Linked DNA regions of Caenorhabditis elegans. The protein of the gene in region 1 purifies or fractionates together with the protein of each later gene. This does not show direct contact. Each region holds a gene or a part of one and is shown in the gene's direction. Other genes may lie near its edges. The genes, in order: R12E2.11, wago-4 and Y54F10AR.1.

Region 1 (5,301 bases):
GCCTCTGTTGGCAATCCGATGTTCTTTGGCTCAGCATCGATAATTACAAGAACCGGGTTCGGGCAGAATCGTTTCAATTGCTCGTTGATAGCAATATCGTTCTGTAAAATTAATAAATAAATAATTAATTAAACTGTTGAAGTTGAACACCGTAATTTTGCAAAAATCAGGGTGGCACAGAAAGTAAGGCGGAGCGTAATTTCGCAACACTGTGACACGGTTTTTTCTTTTTTTTTTGTCAGGTATCCACTGCATTTTTTTCGATTTTTTTCAAAAGTTTTGATTTGATTTGTTTTAAGTTTTTTTTTTTTTGCTTTGTTGTTATTTGCACAGTATAATTTCAAATTTAAACAAGTTCGCGCTCCATCGATCATGAAACCGTAAAAACGGGTATCAGAACGGATATTATCGGTTCATAGAGATTCAGAGCCCAGTGATCCGTATGCAGTCATCACAAACCCGAGTGGAATGAGAAATCGAACCAATGGCTGGAGGCGCAGAGTGTGTGCCTGCTAGCCACTAGACCACTACGCGCGTTGTCCCCGTCTCTTTTTTGCCTCTTATATACCTTGTGAAGTTTTGGACCCGTATGATACCATCCGACGATTTTTTCCTTGGCGGCAACCTGTAAATTCATTTTTTTTGTTTAAAATTAAATAAAAACGAGATTTCAAAATTCACCAACCTTGTAGAACATTCCATACATGCTCTCCAAATAGTCCATGTCGAGGAACCATGTACTTTTATCCTTGTCATCTTCATCAAACGGAACTGAAAATTACTTTATAAGTAAGCAAATAAATTTTTAAAAATACCAGCAAAACTGTTTCCAATATCCAGAGTTTTGTCCTTTTTCATGGACCCCAAAAGGACTCCAACAACACGCTTCACGCTTTGAGTTTTGCTGACACGATTGAAATGATCAACAACACTCAGAAGAACCAATGGATGGACGGTCACCTTAAATAATTGTGTTTATTTAAAATCGAATTTTCTCGCTCAGGTATGCTAACCTTATTAACGGGAAGGTTTGCATGAACATTTCCAAGGCAATGATGGGCTCCAGCCTTTTGTTTGAGAACATCTACAGCTTTGACAGTCGCCACATCTCCGTCTTTGTTAGTTGGAGCCATTCTTCTAAAAAACGAAAATAAATTTATCACAATAAAAAATCAACACATAACAGTTTAACACGTTAATAATCGACATAACAGTGAGAAACGCTTAATCATTGCGGAAAAACCTGCCATAAACGTATCTAGAATATAATTTGAATGAAAAAATGAAAAGAAATAAATAAATAATGCTTAAAAACGACAATTTCCCGCTTCCCGTTCAAAAAAGAAATATCATCGTTTAAAGGCGCATGCAATTTCCCCGTAAATCGACACTGGCCGTGGTGAGACCCATCCCGTATTTCCACTTTATTTTTCCTGGTTCTTTACTTTAAAATTAACTTTTTTCGATTGCAATGACGGAAAATTAACTTTCTAATGCGAAAAATTGAAAATTGAACATTTATTTTATTGTTCTAGTAAATTTTTGTTTAATAATCTTGTGTTCACAGCCTGTCGTTGAAAAATGGCAACTTCCTATTTTGGAAAAATAGCTTGTGCTGTGATTTCTTATCGTGATTTTCATTGACATATTTCCAAATTCGTAGCATAGAAAATATTTTCAGTGAAGAAAAAGCATTCATACTGGGCGAGAACAACAATGCCGTTTTATGAAGTGAGCATGATCACACGATCTCTGTCAAAGGTACAGAAAAAACACGATGAAGCGTGAGAATGTGTATAATCATGAGAATATTCTTTATTTCAGGCAGATCTTGTTAAAGCTTTAACGCGTGCTGGAAACACTTTGCTGGATCACGGAGCAGTAATTGAAAAGGTTGAGTCACTGGGTCATCGAGATTTACCGTATAAACGGCTGGCCAAACAGACAAATGAGCCCGTCTACGCTTCAAAGTAATATTTAAAAACTATATATCTTAAAAAAATTGTTTGTTCTTTGCAGTTTCTTCCTCTTCAAGGCGCACATGTCTCGGGAAGCTAGACAGAAAACAAAGTCTATTTTGACACATGACCTGGACACGGTGAGTTAGTTAAATTTCATTATATATTATCTGATGTTGATGTATGATCGGGTCTTATTGTTTAAAAGTTTTCTTTGTTTAGATTCATTTCGAATGTTGTTTTGTTCTTTTTCTAAATTAATTTGTCACTTTTTGGTCATTACAAAAATCTGAACCATATTTTTTCAGGTTCAAGTCGATCTAATTCAAGTGGACACACTGCCGGCTCCAAAGGTTGAATGCAATCTGGAAGAAATCCTCAAATCTCCTGCCGAACGTCAAGCAGTCAAGGATTTGAGAGAAAATCAAAAGATGGGTCATTTCACGCGACAGATGATCTACAAACGTACTGAAAAGGAGTGGAAGAGTATCCCGAAGAGTTACCCAATTGCTCCGCCAAGGCCCTAGACATGAAATTCGTAATCGACTTAAATTTACGGGTCGAAGATCGCCGACAATGCACTTTTGGCCACACCTCCTTATGATAGTGTTATCAAACGAGGCTATCTTTTCGTACTTTGCGTTGTCTGTTTTCTCGATTCTTCTGTACAGTTTTAGGATTTATAGAGTGATTTTTGTTTTCTTAAAGTTGAATTGATTTGTTTTGTTTCATGAATATCACATTTTTATTTATTTATTTTTCTTCCTTCAAATCACGTACCTGGTTCATCTGACCAAGTGATATTTGTTCACTTTTCTATTGAAAGAAAATAACCTGTTTCACATTGATATTCGAAAATTGTTAAAAATTCAGAATGACCGCCGCCACCGCTACCGCCAACGGAAATCACTCAATCGAGGATCCAGTCGTCATGAAAGTCCAGGCCGCTTCACCAATCCAGGAAACTGATTTTTTCGAGAATCTCTATCAAATGGAATGTTTTCGCACTGGGGAGTTCTACCTCAAATCTGGCCAGATGACTCCAATCTACATAGATCTTCGCAGAATAATGAGCTCTCCTCGTGTGCTCCGAATGGCTGCTCAAGCTATGTGTGAGAAAATTGTCGCCTCAAACCTCAAATTCGATTATGTTGTTGGAGTACCATATGCTGCCCTTCCACTTGCTACCGTCAGTTTTCAGAAATAATTCACACTAAAAAATGAGACTCAATGTTTTTAGCTTGTATCTGATATTCTCAATGTGCCGATGCTTATGAAAAGAAAAGAAGCCAAAGCCTACGGAACAAAGCAACTTATCGAAGGAGTCTATCAGCCTGGTGGTACAGTACTTCTTGTCGAAGATGTCGTCACATCAGGTGAATCAATTCGTGAGACAGCAGAAGCAATTCGCAATGAGAATCTGTTGGTCACTGATGCCATAGCTGTTTTGGATAGACAACAGGGAGCAACTGCCAATCTCGCAGAAGATAATCTTAACTTCCTCAGGTGAGGCTTTTTCGTTTTAATTAAAAATCAAATTTTTTCAGCTTTTTGACAATGGAGAAGATCCTCGACGGCCTGATCACGAAAAACGAGATGACCGAGGAACGAAAGCACGAGATTATTGCTCATCTTGCTAAACCTTTCTAAAAATTTCATTGTTGCACCCCATATTCTACCAATTTGTGAACTTGTTTTCTCATTTTCATAATATTCCAATAAACTTCCTTGTTAGCACACATGCATCGCATCACATAAAACAAGAAAATTGATGGACCAATTTAAAAAATGGAAAAAAGGTTTCATTAAATTTTTGTTTAGCGTTTTATGTGATGTTTTGTGTGTTTATATTTTCTTCTCATCACTTTCTACCATGTTTGCTGAATAATTTTCATTATTTTTTGGCTTGTTGATTCCTTCCCAAGTTGTGATATATCCTGGTTTAATTCTTCTTCCGCATGTCTTAATAATTTTTTTTTTTGGAATTTAGCTAAAGCATAATCAAATCTTCTCATGTTCTTTCCCTGAAACGATTTCAAGTGAATAAAACCTTTTCCAAATAGTGTTCACAAAGGATAAAACTCGCACCATCTATCATAGCTCAACAGTTCTCGCTAAGAATTGCAAGTCAGTCATTAATGCACATAAAACTTAATAAACTTTTAAAATCGGATTCAATTATTTTGCTCTACCGGATGACCCCAGCAGAGCGGTTCCAAAAATTAAAGTCGTTTGACACTTTCTTTCGAAAGGTCAGAACTCCAGCGTACCTTGAGTAACTGGGTTAAAACCGAAGATACCAACGAGTCCTCTCCTCTTACCCAAACGTGTGTACCGACACATTTCGAGGCAAGCGAGAAGCGACGAGTGTGTGTTGTCGAGGAGACGGAGACTGCGAAACAGCAGTGGTTGATGGTGCAGTGGGGAATAAGGGAGGCACAGCAGGACACTGGTTCGATCCCCACGAAGTGCATAATCAGATTTTCCGTATATTGAATATTTATAAACAATTTTTAAAAAATCTATTTTTAATTAAACATGCGTTTTCCGTTATAATGTGCGATTAAGTAAAGAAAAGTACGGTATGCAAAAAAAAAGTACGCAAATACACACATTATCTGCTACCGTACCTTTGTTCTACAATTTGTTCTACATTCTTGGGAGAGCGCGAAATTTTGTATTTTGTCCGCTCAGCGAAATGATTGCACTTGTTTTCTGGAAACTTCCGAAATTTTTTCTTTCTTTGTTCTCCTAAAACTTCGACTTTTTCCGTTCAGTTGTTTAAACAGTATTTTTCGCAGTTATTTTCTATTAAAAATCCGCGTATTCGTCTAATTTCCATTTTGTGCTCTCCCAAAATCGTTTTTCCTGTCTCTTCTGCCGTTTAATAAGCTTATTTATTTTCCAGGTATGGCGTTGAACAGCGAAGTGATGTTCCGCGAGCAAATCAATGCGATGCGCTCACAAGCTGGCCGGAAGCGAGCGACGTCGCTTCAAAGCTTCTGCTCCGGAAACACCGACGACTCCTCCGCGGATAGCACCGATAACATGGATATGATGGTGGATTATCCTCAACAAAAGGGAGTGAGCTGCATGAGAGCCAGATTCAACAGCGAGAGCACGCTTAGCAAGAGTTTCCGGAAGAAAGTGAAGAAGCTCGCTCAGAAGGACAGGTACTTTGAGATTCTTAAGTATTAGAAAATTAATATTTTATGTTGCAGAAGATCCAAGGAGCGTCTGAACGGAAACTCGGAAGAGGATGCGATTGAAGTCCCACGCGGTGCTCCGTCTACTTATGCAGCTCCATCGAAATTGCGGAAATCCAAAGCTCTCGACTGTCTTG
Region 2 (5,586 bases), on another chromosome or scaffold:
CATTGAGGGGAACGCTGGAAAAGTTTAATTTAGACTTTTTAAGAAATTATTTTAAAAGTGGAAATTGCTTTAAAGTACGCCTATGGTATCACAACAACCGAATATCATGACTAAAAAATTCTTTTAAAAAATCGAAATTTTATATGATTTTTAGAAAATTGAAAAATCTCAGTTTTTGCCTAATTCCTATTTGAATTACCGTCAACTGGATTTGTTCGATGGAGCGCGCTTGCACGTTTATAAATTTATTTATTTTATTTTTTGTTATTTTCCACCGATTTTTAATGTTTTCGGTGTATTTTTGCTTGAATTTTAGAGAAAAAGTCAAAATACATGCAACTTTTCGATTAAAAAAGCACGCTTACAGGCGTAGATCATTGAAATTAATTAATTCAGGTTCGAAATCGTTCAAAATCGTTACTTTGTCATTTTTACGCCTGTAAGCGTGCTTTTCAATCGAAAATTAGCTTTTATTTTGACTTTTTCTCTAAAATTCAAGCAAAATTACACCGAGAACATTAAAAATCGGTGGAAAATAACAAAAAATAAAATAAATTAATTAAAAAACGTGCAAGCGCGCTCCATCGAACAAATCCAATTGGCGGTAATTTAAATAGGAATTAGGCAAAAACTGAGATTTTTTCGATTTTCAAAAAATCATATAAAATTTAGAATAATTTTTTATCATGATATTCGGTCATTGTGGTACCATAGGCATGTTTTACAGCAATTTCCCCACTGACGCTACTCCACCTTTAAAGAATTAGAATTTCAAACAGATTTTTCTCTACAAAATGGCATATTTTTCGAACCTGAAATCGAAAAACTGACGATTCTAATACATTTTTTAAAAAACTGTAGTGACTCCTTTCTGTAAAATCTTCAGTTTTGGGCCAAATTTCATAATTTTACACATTTTCAACTCGTATGATTCCTCTCAACAAAATTATGAATCAAAAAAATTCGGAAAGAGTTTCTATATAGGCCAACAATAGCCAAAAACTGCTGTCCCAGCTAATCGAGCTCCCACGAATTCAGGAGTTTGTGAGGTGTCGTTCCAGTAATTATGAACACTCCAGGACATCGTGTTTATTACCTTCTTAAGATATGGAAATTTCTTTCTAAGCGCATCCATTGGGTACATGAGACCTCCGTAACGATTCAGTCGTGGGATGTGTCCTTGACTGTTCTCACCCGGCAACGGGATCGAGTCCACTTCCAGATTGTTCGATGTCGCCTCAATTTCCGACTCTGGAGGAATGAATCCGCCACTCACAAGCTCTTCGATTCGGTTACGCTCTCTCTCCAGTTCACCCATATAATCAGCCATTTCACGTTGATTTTCCAAAAATGCAATGTAGGCTTTCGGGTGGGAATCTCTGAGATGTCGCTCGAGAAGGCTCATCTCACCGAAACGATTTTTGCAGACTTTGCATCGGAACATGCTTTTACGGACGGCATTTCGAATTTCATCGATGCTCAGTGAGGACGCAGGAACCATGTTGAGATCCGGAGCACAAAAGTCTTGCTGCTCTGAAAATTATAAATTTTCTTTTTTTCCAAATATTGGTTCAAAATTGGACTCAAAATTGCCTAAAAATACCGAATTTCATGATGAAACTTCTTGAAAACTTCTCAAAAAAAAGTTATGACGGCTCAAAAACTGGCCTAAAATTAGTTAAAATTTGAAATTTGACTTGTCAGCGCTGCCAGCTGGAAACTAATATTTTTGAAATCACCGTCAAATTTTGAGTATTTTATGTAATTATCTTTCGTTTTTAACTCTGATTTAGGTATTTTAAAGTCGATGAACGGCGAGATTTTTAAATTTTTTTAAACCAAATCTCGCGGTCCATCGACTTTAAAATACCGAAATCGTGTTGAAAACGCAAGATAATTACATTTTATACCCAAAATTTGACGGTGATTTCAAAAACAAAAATTGTTTCCAGCTGACAGCGCTGACAAGTAAAATTTTAAGTTTTAACTACTTTTAGGCCATTTTTTGAGCCGTCATAACTTGTTTTTGGGAAGTTTTCAAGTTTCATTATATAAATCGGTGTTTTCAGACAATTTCGAGTCTACTCCACCTTTAAATGACAAATTTCTGAAATCCTTACTTTGTCGAACTATACACTTGTCAAGTTCGGCAGATGGATCGATGAAATTCAGTGCAGCTCGGTTTTCGCGAAGCTTTTTGATTGGTCTTCCATCCCCGCCGAGAATGATTCGTTCTTTATGAATTTTCGGCGGATTTCTGAGGCTCGCAAGAAGCTCGCCGACTCCGGTGAGCTTTTTTCGTGGGCAACACACGTCATTTCTTCCAGAATCGTTGGCTTCAGCTACTGTTTCCTTTTTCATGCATTCTTGAAGGAAGTGCTCTTGAATACGACGAATCTGTTGAGCATCCTGAGCGTTGAATGATGCAATAATCTGCTGTTCCTTTTCGTCTTGGCAATCCCTATGTTCCGCATGATCATCTTCCGAGACTGCATCTATCAAGAAATCATTAGAAGAGAATAATACAAGAGAAATAAATATCAAATAGTGATAATAACTAGGTTTCTTGGAACCAAATATAGAAATCAAGTTAACAAAATTTCGTTATTTTTGTTTTTTTATTAGGTTAACAATAGAAAAAAATATAATGATTACGTGAATCTTCACGATCGACAATCTCCGGCGCCTTCATTGTTTCTCGTTGCTTGTCCTGATTGTTCCTGTAATTAATTGCATTATTGAAGGAAATTTTAAGATTTCAAATAACGAAATTGAACACGGGTCTGGAAAAATAGAGGCGAAACGAAGAAATATGAACATTTCGAAATAATGCAACAATCTCATGTGACTCCTGATGAAGAGGGTATTTGAAGTGCAAAATAGAGCGCAAGTGCACTTTTTTAATTTTTCTCTTAAAAATAGCTATTTTTGTTTAATTCTAGAGTTTTAATTATAAAAAGAAAAGCAAAATTCAATAAAGGTTCTCTTCGAAAAAATAAATTGTTCGGGTGGATTTACGGTAAACAAGGCGCATTGCGTTAAGGCGGAGTGTCGTTGTGCTCGGGTCTCGCAGCGAAAGTCACCTACAGTAACCCAGAATTTTAGGATGACCGCGATTTTCAATTTCGTTTTTTCTTTTCGCGTTTTTTCGCGGAAATGTTTGTTTTTGATGCTCGTTTTGTGTTTTTGTGTTGTATTTTTGTTGCTTTTTTCGCATTTTTCTATACGTTAAGTCTTATTTCGTCTTGAATTTTAAATTTACAGGTAATAGTTACAAAATCGAGAAGGATGCCAGCTCTTCCTCCAGTCTACACGCCTTCTGGAGCTCCATCGAGCGTCCACGCACCACCTGCCGTTCCACCAGTTCCAGTTCCGACTCAACCGTTAAGATCGGAGTATCAAACGTCTAACGACGCTTGCATCAAGAGACTGGAAGAGCTTAATGTACGTTTAGTTTAATTGATTTTTTTTTCAAACCTAATTTGTTAAATTTCAGATTGCTCCTGCTGCAAAGCTCTATCCAACACCTACTGAACCAGGAAAGTGTGGCGTCGAGGCCGAAATACAGACCAACGTATTCGGAATCGAGATGCACCAGGATTCGTTGTTCTATCAGTACAGCGTGAACATCACGACGGAGCTGAAAAACGGGAAAGAAGTTACCTTCACTAAGAAGGGGAAGGATGAGTGAGTTTACCACATGATTTATATTTTTCTCATAATATGTTCCAGCTTCGTCGTTACTGAGAGACACGACAAGTGCTGTGCGATTCTGTTCCGCGCGCTGGGTGACTATGAGGAGTTCTTCAAAACGTCTGATAGCTGCCTCATCTACGATGGTCAAAGCATTCTGTTCTCAAACGTGGATCTTTTCCAAGGGTTCAGAGAAGGCGCAGTAAAGGTAAATAAATTAAATCTCGGCCAATGTTATTCCGAATATTTCAGACCAAGTACATGCAGCTTGATGGCGGAGAAATGGATCATAAGGATCTCAAATCGTTGCCGTGTATTAAGCTGGAGGTGTTCCCGACTAAAAACCCAGCGGTCAAGTTCACACGAGAAGCCGTAGCAAGACGAGCAACGGACTCAAACCTCGATTCTGTCAGCTTGGCTTACCAACAGATCCTGGAACTCGCTCTCACTCAACCATGTCTTCGCAACACTGCGAGATACGTTGTTTTCGATCATGGAAAAATGTTTTTCATTGATCCACTCGGTGAAGGATTCGAGAAATGCGACGTTGTGGACGTTGGGGATGGGAAGCAAGTTGTACCAGGACTCAAGAAGACGATCAACTTCATCGAAGGACCCTACGGCAGAGGACGGAGTAATCCATCAGTTGTCATTGACGGTTGGTATTCAAAATAGTAATATCATAGTTATTTCTTGTTTTTCAGGGATGAAGGTCGCTTTCCATAAGAATCAGCCAATTCTCGACAAACTGAAGGAGATAACTACGCAGCCTGTGGAACACGGCCTGAAGGGACTCGAAAAGGACCGCTGCGCAGCCGTCATCAAAGGGCTCGACTGCTATTCTACATATGGCGGTCGTGAACGTCATCACAAGATCGAGGGAATCCATCACGAAGGGGCTCGAAATGCTCGTTTCGAGCTCAACGACGGTGGAAGCTGCACTGTAGCTCAATATTTCGAAGACGTATACAACATCACTCTTCGCTATCCAGACACAAATCTCATCGTTTCCAAGGAGAGAGGAAATATAAACTTCTACCCGATGGAATTGTTGAAGATCAGCTCTCATCAACGCGTTCAGATCCCGCAGCTAACCAGTGCCCAGAGTCAGAAGACAACGAAGGAAAGTGCTGTTTTACCTGACGTTCGCCAGCGTCTGATCTTGACGGGAAAAAATGCGGCGCAAATCTCATCGGACAACGAGGTTCTCGGTAAAATGGGCGTCTCGGTGTGCGAAGATCCGCTCATGGTCAAAGGACGCTCAATTCCTGCGGTGAAGTTGGCAAACGCTGAAATTGGAGCCAATCCAATCAATGTCAAGGACAACAAGTGGCGTGCCAACCGCTTCACTCGACCAGCCACGGCGCCGAATGTGTGGGCGATGTATGTTGTCGGTACCGCATCAACTCGCATAACTTTGGATACTCTGAAGTAAGACTGGCAATATAGTTTCATATCTCATTTTTTTCGTTTCAGGAAATTCGCAGATGAGTTCGCGGCTATGTGCAAGTCAAAAGGTGTCAACATGCCTGCTCCTGCTGACATTTCGCTCATCCATATGGATGCCATCGAGAGTCGTCTGTACGACGCAACGAAAGCCAATTGCACATTCGTTTTCATCATAACGGATGATTCAATCACTACACTCCATCGTATGTTACATTGTTTATTATATTTGTCCATATTTCCGTCTTTCAGAGCGTTACAAAATGATTGAGAAGGATACGAAGATGATCGTTCAAGACATGAAGCTATCCAAGGCGTTGAGTGTTATCAATGCAGGAAAGAGGCTAACTCTCGAGAACGTGATCAACAAGACCAATGTGAAGTTGGGAGGTTCCAACTATGTTTTCGTGGACGCCAAGAAGTACCAGATTTTTTTTTGCGAAATTT
Region 3 (5,586 bases), on another chromosome or scaffold:
TCACTGTCTTATTGATTTAAGTACATTTGAGGTTACCAATATTTACAAAGTCTGTGTTTCAGACAAAATGACACCAAAAAATGCGGAAACTACAGAAATCGGGCCTCCAATATGAACATTTTTGAATGAAATTTTTTTTTTTTTCGCAAAAAGGGTAGAATTCACCGGGAATCCAACAAAAAATGGCATTTTCAACATGGTGCATCGGGCAAAGTTTCCTGCAGAAAGCCACAAGGCCTATGGCTAAGCCTAAGCATATGCCTAAGCCTGAGCCTAAGCATACGCCTAATCCCAAGTCTAAGCCTAAGCCTAGGTCTAAGCCTATGCCTCAGCATCTGCCTAAGTCTTAGCCTAAGCCTAATCCTAAGCCTAGGCCTAGGCCGAAGCAATAGCCCAAGCCTGAGCCTAAGTCTATGCCTAGGCCTATGCCTAAGCCTATGCTTAAGCCTAGGCCTATGACTAAACCTAAGCCTAAGCCTAAATAGCCAATTTATCGCCAATTTTTAACTTTTCAGACGAAAATCGAGATTTTTACAGTTACAGAGAAAATCTTCCAATTTCTAGATTTTATTGTTTTTGGAAGTTAATAAATCGATTTTCAGCAGATAGTCTAATTTTCTTGGCGCTTTTTAATGGCCAAAGGTACCGTACTCTGTGTAAAGGCGCATAACCACGTAGTATCAGCATGTCCCATCACGGTTTGATCTACAAAAAATGCGGGATTTTTTTGCCCAAAAATATGTGACGTCAGCACGTTCCTAACCATACGAAATCAGTTGAGAACTCTGCGTCTCAATTCCTGCATTTTGATTTTTTTTTTCCATTTCTTTACCGATTCACGTGGTGTCAAAGTGCCTTCTTTCGGCATGATCTACATAGATCTACAAAAAATGCGGGAGAAGAGACGCAGAGTTCTCAACTGATTTCGCATGGTTAACAACGTGATGACGTCACATTTTTTTTGGCAAAAAATTCCCGCATTTTTTGTAGATCAAACCGTAATGGGACAGCCTGGCACCACTTGAACCCAGCTTTTTTCGATTTTTTTTTGAATTTTAATTATTTAATAGGGGAAAGTCAAAAAAATCGATTTCATATTGTTTCCGCAAGTCGAAATTTGATTTATGTGTATCTGCCCCAAACTTGTCGCTCATTTCCATGGTGATTCTCGCGCCAGCTTCACACTTTTTCAGATTTTCCATTGAAAATGTCATCCGTCACTTGTTTTTCCAACCCATTTCGCTCCTCTCCATAGTCGTTACTTTTTACTTTATATAGCCTCTCTCTCTCAACTTGACAGCGCACACGCTACTCCACAAACATGACATATTTAGTTTCTGCTCCAGCTCTTTTTTCTCCTCCGTTTTCCCCCCGTCCCGGGTGTTATCGATTTTTCGCCGCGCCGCCCTCTTTTTTTTGGGGAAGGCCATTTTTAATACTATTTTCCATCTTTTTTCCGTCTTCCTTCTTCCAAAAACGTTAAAAGAAAGGAAAAAAAAACGAATATTTCTTCCTCTTTTTCTTCCAAGAAAGGCTCGAACCCTGCTGTTAATCGAGAAGAGAGTATACGAAGTCACCGAGAGGAATGCTTGCGCATTTCGCGTGCCTAGTGAGTCGGCAAGTGAGACAGAAACACAGAAAGCATTCGATTTTCTCCTCGTTGCTGCGCTTATTGCTTCATCTATTTCGTCTGTCTTTTTTTTTTCTTTTTTCCGCTTTGTTTTTATGTTTTTTGCGGGTGTATGGACCTTAACACGTCATTTTTTGCAGTTTTTGCACTGAAAATTGGTCGGAAAATCGTTAAAACCTTCTGAAAACTCATTTTAAATTCAATAAAATTAAATATTCATCACACTTTTGTAGATCGTCGCGAGACCCGAGCCAATTCAAAGACCATGCACCTTTAAAAACCATTTCAAGATTTTTCGTGTATTATGCTCGCTTTTCTCTCGGAATTCCAATCGGAAATTAAAAATAATCTTAATTTTCACTTCGAAATCAAGTTTTCAATATTAAATCGTTAGAATTTCATTTAAAACCACCTAGAAATAGCTTAAATTTGTTTAAAAGTTTAAAAACTTGAAAATTAATTACAATTTCTGTAGATCGCTGCGAGACCCGAGTCTCTTCAAACTATATGCGCCTTCGATTACTGCCCTTCTCAAATTCGTTTTTTTCGCTTTTCCCACGGAAAATTGAGTGATTTTTCCATTTTTCCCTCAAGAAATTTCAAAATGAGAAAAATTTCGCAACACCTCTCTCTCTCTCTCTATTCATGATGACTAATAATTCTACGATTTCGCATTGTTTGGGAGAATTTTGTATTTTTCATGAGAGACGCCGTTAAAATTTCCAATTCCGATTTAATATTGTCATTTTCTATTTAAAAACGTTAGAAAATATATTAAATATTGGTAAAATCAACTTAATTTTACTAAAAAACTTTAAAAAATTCAAAAATTTATCAAACTTTTGTAGTTCGCTGCGAGACCCATCGGCAATTGGAACTCCGTGCGCCTTTAACTTTTCGATCAATTTTTTATTTTTAAATCCAAAAATTTTCAATTTCCCGCTAAAAATCGTTAAAATCTTTGTGAATTTCCTTCAAATTACGAAATTTCGCAATAATTTTCTTCTTTTTCTCGAATACCTTCCAAAATGCAAAAATAAAATCGATTTTCGCATGCTCTCCACCCATTAATCTTCCGTAAAGCTGTTTCCATGGCAACTAGCATAAAAAATTTAGTTTTCAGGTGGTTTCCTCCTCATTCGACACTCGCAAGAATGATTATCAAGGAGTAGTAAGTGATTTTTTTATTTTTAACGAAAATTTTGATTTTTCCTGGAAAAAATCGGTTTTTTTCCAGATTTTCCAACAAAAAAAAATCGGATTTCTCCATTCTTTTCCCAAAAAAATCGGATTTTTTCAAGATTTTTCCCGGAAGAATCGGATTTTTTCCAGATTTTTTCAAAAAAATCGTATTTTTCCAGATTTTTCCATTAAAATCGGATTTGTTCCAGATTTTTCCATTAAAATCGGATTTGTTCCAGATTTTTCCATTAAAATCGGATTTGTTCCAGATTTTTTCCATTCTTTTCCCAAAACAATCGGATTTTTTCCAGATTTTTTCAAAAAAAAAATCGTATTTTTCCAGATTTTCCCAAAAAAATTGGATTTTTTCCAGATTTTCAAAAAAAAAAATTTTTTTTCAGCCGAGTTGTGCTTCCAATGTCCGTCGAAGAGTACCAAGTAGGCCAGCTCTGGTCTGTGGCCGAGGCCTCAAAAGCCGAAACGGGTGGCGGTGAAGGTGTGGAAGTGCTCAAAAATGAGCCATTTGACAATGTTCCACTGCTCAATGGACAATTCACGAAAGGACAATATACTCATAAGATTTATCATCTTCAATCGTAGGATTTTCTTCTTTAATTCTGCGAAAAAAATTGGAAAAAAAATCAATTTTTTCAGGAAAGTCCCGGCAATTTTGCGAAAAATCGCGCCAAAAGGTTCTCTGGCTATCCACGAAGAAGCATGGAATGCCTATCCGTACTGTAAGACGGTTGTCACGAATCCAGACTATATGAAAGAGAATTTCTATGTGAAAATTGAGACAATCCACTTGCCGGACAACGGAACGACCGAAAATGCGCACGGTTTGAAGGGCGATGAGCTGGCGAAACGAGAAGTTGTCAATATTAATATTGCAAATGATCACGAGTATTTGAATTCCGGAGATTTGCATCCAGACTCCACTCCATCCAAATTTCAGAGCACAAAAACCGGGCGGTACGGGAAAAACCTTGAGATTTTTCAGTTTTTAAATTAAAAAAATCTGAAATTTCAGCGGTCCTTTATCTGGAAATTGGAAGGATAGTGTACAGCCTGTAATGTGTGCCTACAAGCTTGTTACAGTCTATTTCAAGTGGTTTGGATTCCAGAAAATTGTCGAAAACTACGCGCATACGGTGAGATTACGAGAGGATTTCGTGGATCGACAAAATGGGCGAAAATGCTCAAAAAACGAGCTTTTTTTTGTTTGAAATTTGTAGAATAACCCTATGTCGATTTACGCAGATCGTGTACTCCCCGAGGAGAAGAATTTCAAAGTTTAAAACTGAAATTTTCGATTTTCGTGGTTTTTTCATACTCAAATTGACAATTTATAGGGTTCTTAGGTGAAAATCAACAATTTTCACTTAAAATCTGATAAATGTAAATAAAATTAAATAAATAAAATCTGATAAATAAAGTTTTCACCTAAAAACCTAACAAACTGCCAATTTGAATGTGAAAAAACCGCGAAAATTGCCAAAAAGTCAAAAGGAAAACCTAGAAAACCTCTAATTTAAGTGGAAGAGGTTTTACACAGCCATTCTTCAATTTTCGAGCAAAATTTCGAACAATTCCGGAAAAAAACTGAAAACCGAGCTGAAAAAATGGAAAAATTTCGCATAAATGCTCGTGGAAATTTTCAAAAAAGTGGATTTTTACCCGATAAATTAATAAATTTATTTAAAAAATCTCAAAAATTAGCTTGAAATTGGAGAAATTTTCTTTAAAAAACCGCAAAAAAAAAGAAGTTTTCGAAAAATTGCATACGAAAAATGTAGAAATCGAGCTGAAAAATGCACAATTTTCGTAAAAATTTTTTTCCATCTTTTTCGCTGAAAATTTTTATAAATGAAAAATAAAAAAAATAAACCAAAACATTGCTTAATTTAATAAAAATTTCAAAAAGTGCGAAAAAATTGAATTTTAATTTTAAAAAAAGCTGGAAAACTGCGCAATTTTGTATAAAATCCTATAAAGTAAAATTTTCGAAAATGTTTTTTTTTGTTAACCCAGTAATCTACCTGAAAAATGGACATTTTTGTTGAGATTCACGTGAAAATGTTCAAAAATCAGATTTATTTCAGATTTTTCCAAAAAAAAAAATAATTTTTCCATTATTTTCCTTTAAAAAAACGGTTTTTTCGCCAAAAAATCTCGGATTTTTCCATTACTTTCCCAGAAAAATAGGTTTTTTTTTCTAGAAAATTCAGCTTTTTTCCATTTTTTCTCCAAAAAAATCCCAAATTTTTCAGCAATACCCTCGCCTGTTCTCGAAATTCCATCGGGAAGTATTCTGCTGGATCGATAAATGGCACGGCCTTACAATGGTCGATATTCGAGAAATCGAGGCAAAAGCCCAGAAAGAGCTCGAAGAGCAAAGGAAGAGTGGACAAGTTCGTGGAATGAATGGATAAATGGACCACCGGGCCGTGTTTGGGCTCAAATTCTAGTCTTTTTCCGATTTTTTTCATCGCTCTTATTTCTCTAATTCTCTCTCTCTCTCTCTCTCTCTCTCTCGCTTCCTCCCACCCATCCACCTGCCCCATGATGAACTGTGTGATTATTTGAGTAGTGTGAATTTTGGGAATTTTGCTTAAAAATTTCTAAAATTATGTTAAATTTGAAAAAAAAAGAAAAATCACGAAAAATCAAAAACTCTACTTAAAAACCGCTTTTTTTGAATTTCCCGCCAAAATGAGACTTTCGACCAATCAGCGATTCGCTCCACCCACTTTCGGACCAATCATTGGTCCAAA

What was found.
Region 2: the proteins of R12E2.11 (region 1) and wago-4 fractionate together in Caenorhabditis elegans (co-fractionation; one large-scale study listed by BioGRID). This does not show direct contact.
Region 3: the proteins of R12E2.11 (region 1) and Y54F10AR.1 fractionate together in Caenorhabditis elegans (co-fractionation; one large-scale study listed by BioGRID). This does not show direct contact.

What each region holds. Positions count from the first base shown.
Region 1 is NC_003279.8:4,171,155-4,176,455, reverse strand, and holds R12E2.11 (Orotate phosphoribosyltransferase), read left to right. Parts: upstream 1-2,831; 5' UTR 2,832-2,832; coding exon 2,833-3,147; intron 3,148-3,198; coding exon 3,199-3,464; intron 3,465-3,505; coding exon 3,506-3,608; 3' UTR 3,609-4,018; downstream 4,019-5,301. Other genes in the region: rpn-8 (26S proteasome non-ATPase regulatory subunit 7), read right to left, coding at 1-101, 569-625, 686-771, 816-960, 1,014-1,133; mrps-6 (Small ribosomal subunit protein bS6m), read left to right, coding at 1,717-1,761, 1,825-1,970, 2,020-2,098, 2,267-2,485; Inactive protein-tyrosine phosphatase egg-5, read left to right, coding at 4,869-5,131, 5,180-5,301. UniProt on the Caenorhabditis elegans protein: Phosphoribosyltransferase which catalyzes the formation of UMP from uracil in vitro and thus may be involved in UMP biosynthesis via the salvage pathway.
Region 2 is NC_003280.10:12,916,289-12,921,874, forward strand, and holds the start of wago-4 (Argonaute protein wago-4), read left to right. Parts: upstream 1-3,262; 5' UTR 3,263-3,288; coding exon 3,289-3,444; intron 3,445-3,496; coding exon 3,497-3,687; intron 3,688-3,732; coding exon 3,733-3,901; intron 3,902-3,945; coding exon 3,946-4,351; intron 4,352-4,397; coding exon 4,398-5,124; intron 5,125-5,169; coding exon 5,170-5,345; intron 5,346-5,391; coding exon 5,392-5,560; intron 5,561-5,586. Other genes in the region: F58G1.2 (C2H2-type domain-containing protein), read right to left, coding at 1-14, 1,097-1,533, 2,121-2,489, 2,656-2,692. UniProt on the Caenorhabditis elegans protein: Argonaute protein which is involved in the endogenous small interfering RNA (endo-siRNA) pathway and is required for RNA-mediated gene silencing (RNAi) in the germline.
Region 3 is NC_003281.10:2,572,884-2,578,469, reverse strand, and holds the start of Y54F10AR.1 (Phosphatidylinositol transfer protein N-terminal domain-containing protein), read left to right. Parts: upstream 1-2,784; coding exon 2,785-2,801; intron 2,802-3,213; coding exon 3,214-3,408; intron 3,409-3,466; coding exon 3,467-3,784; intron 3,785-3,842; coding exon 3,843-3,963; intron 3,964-5,082; coding exon 5,083-5,244; 3' UTR 5,245-5,586.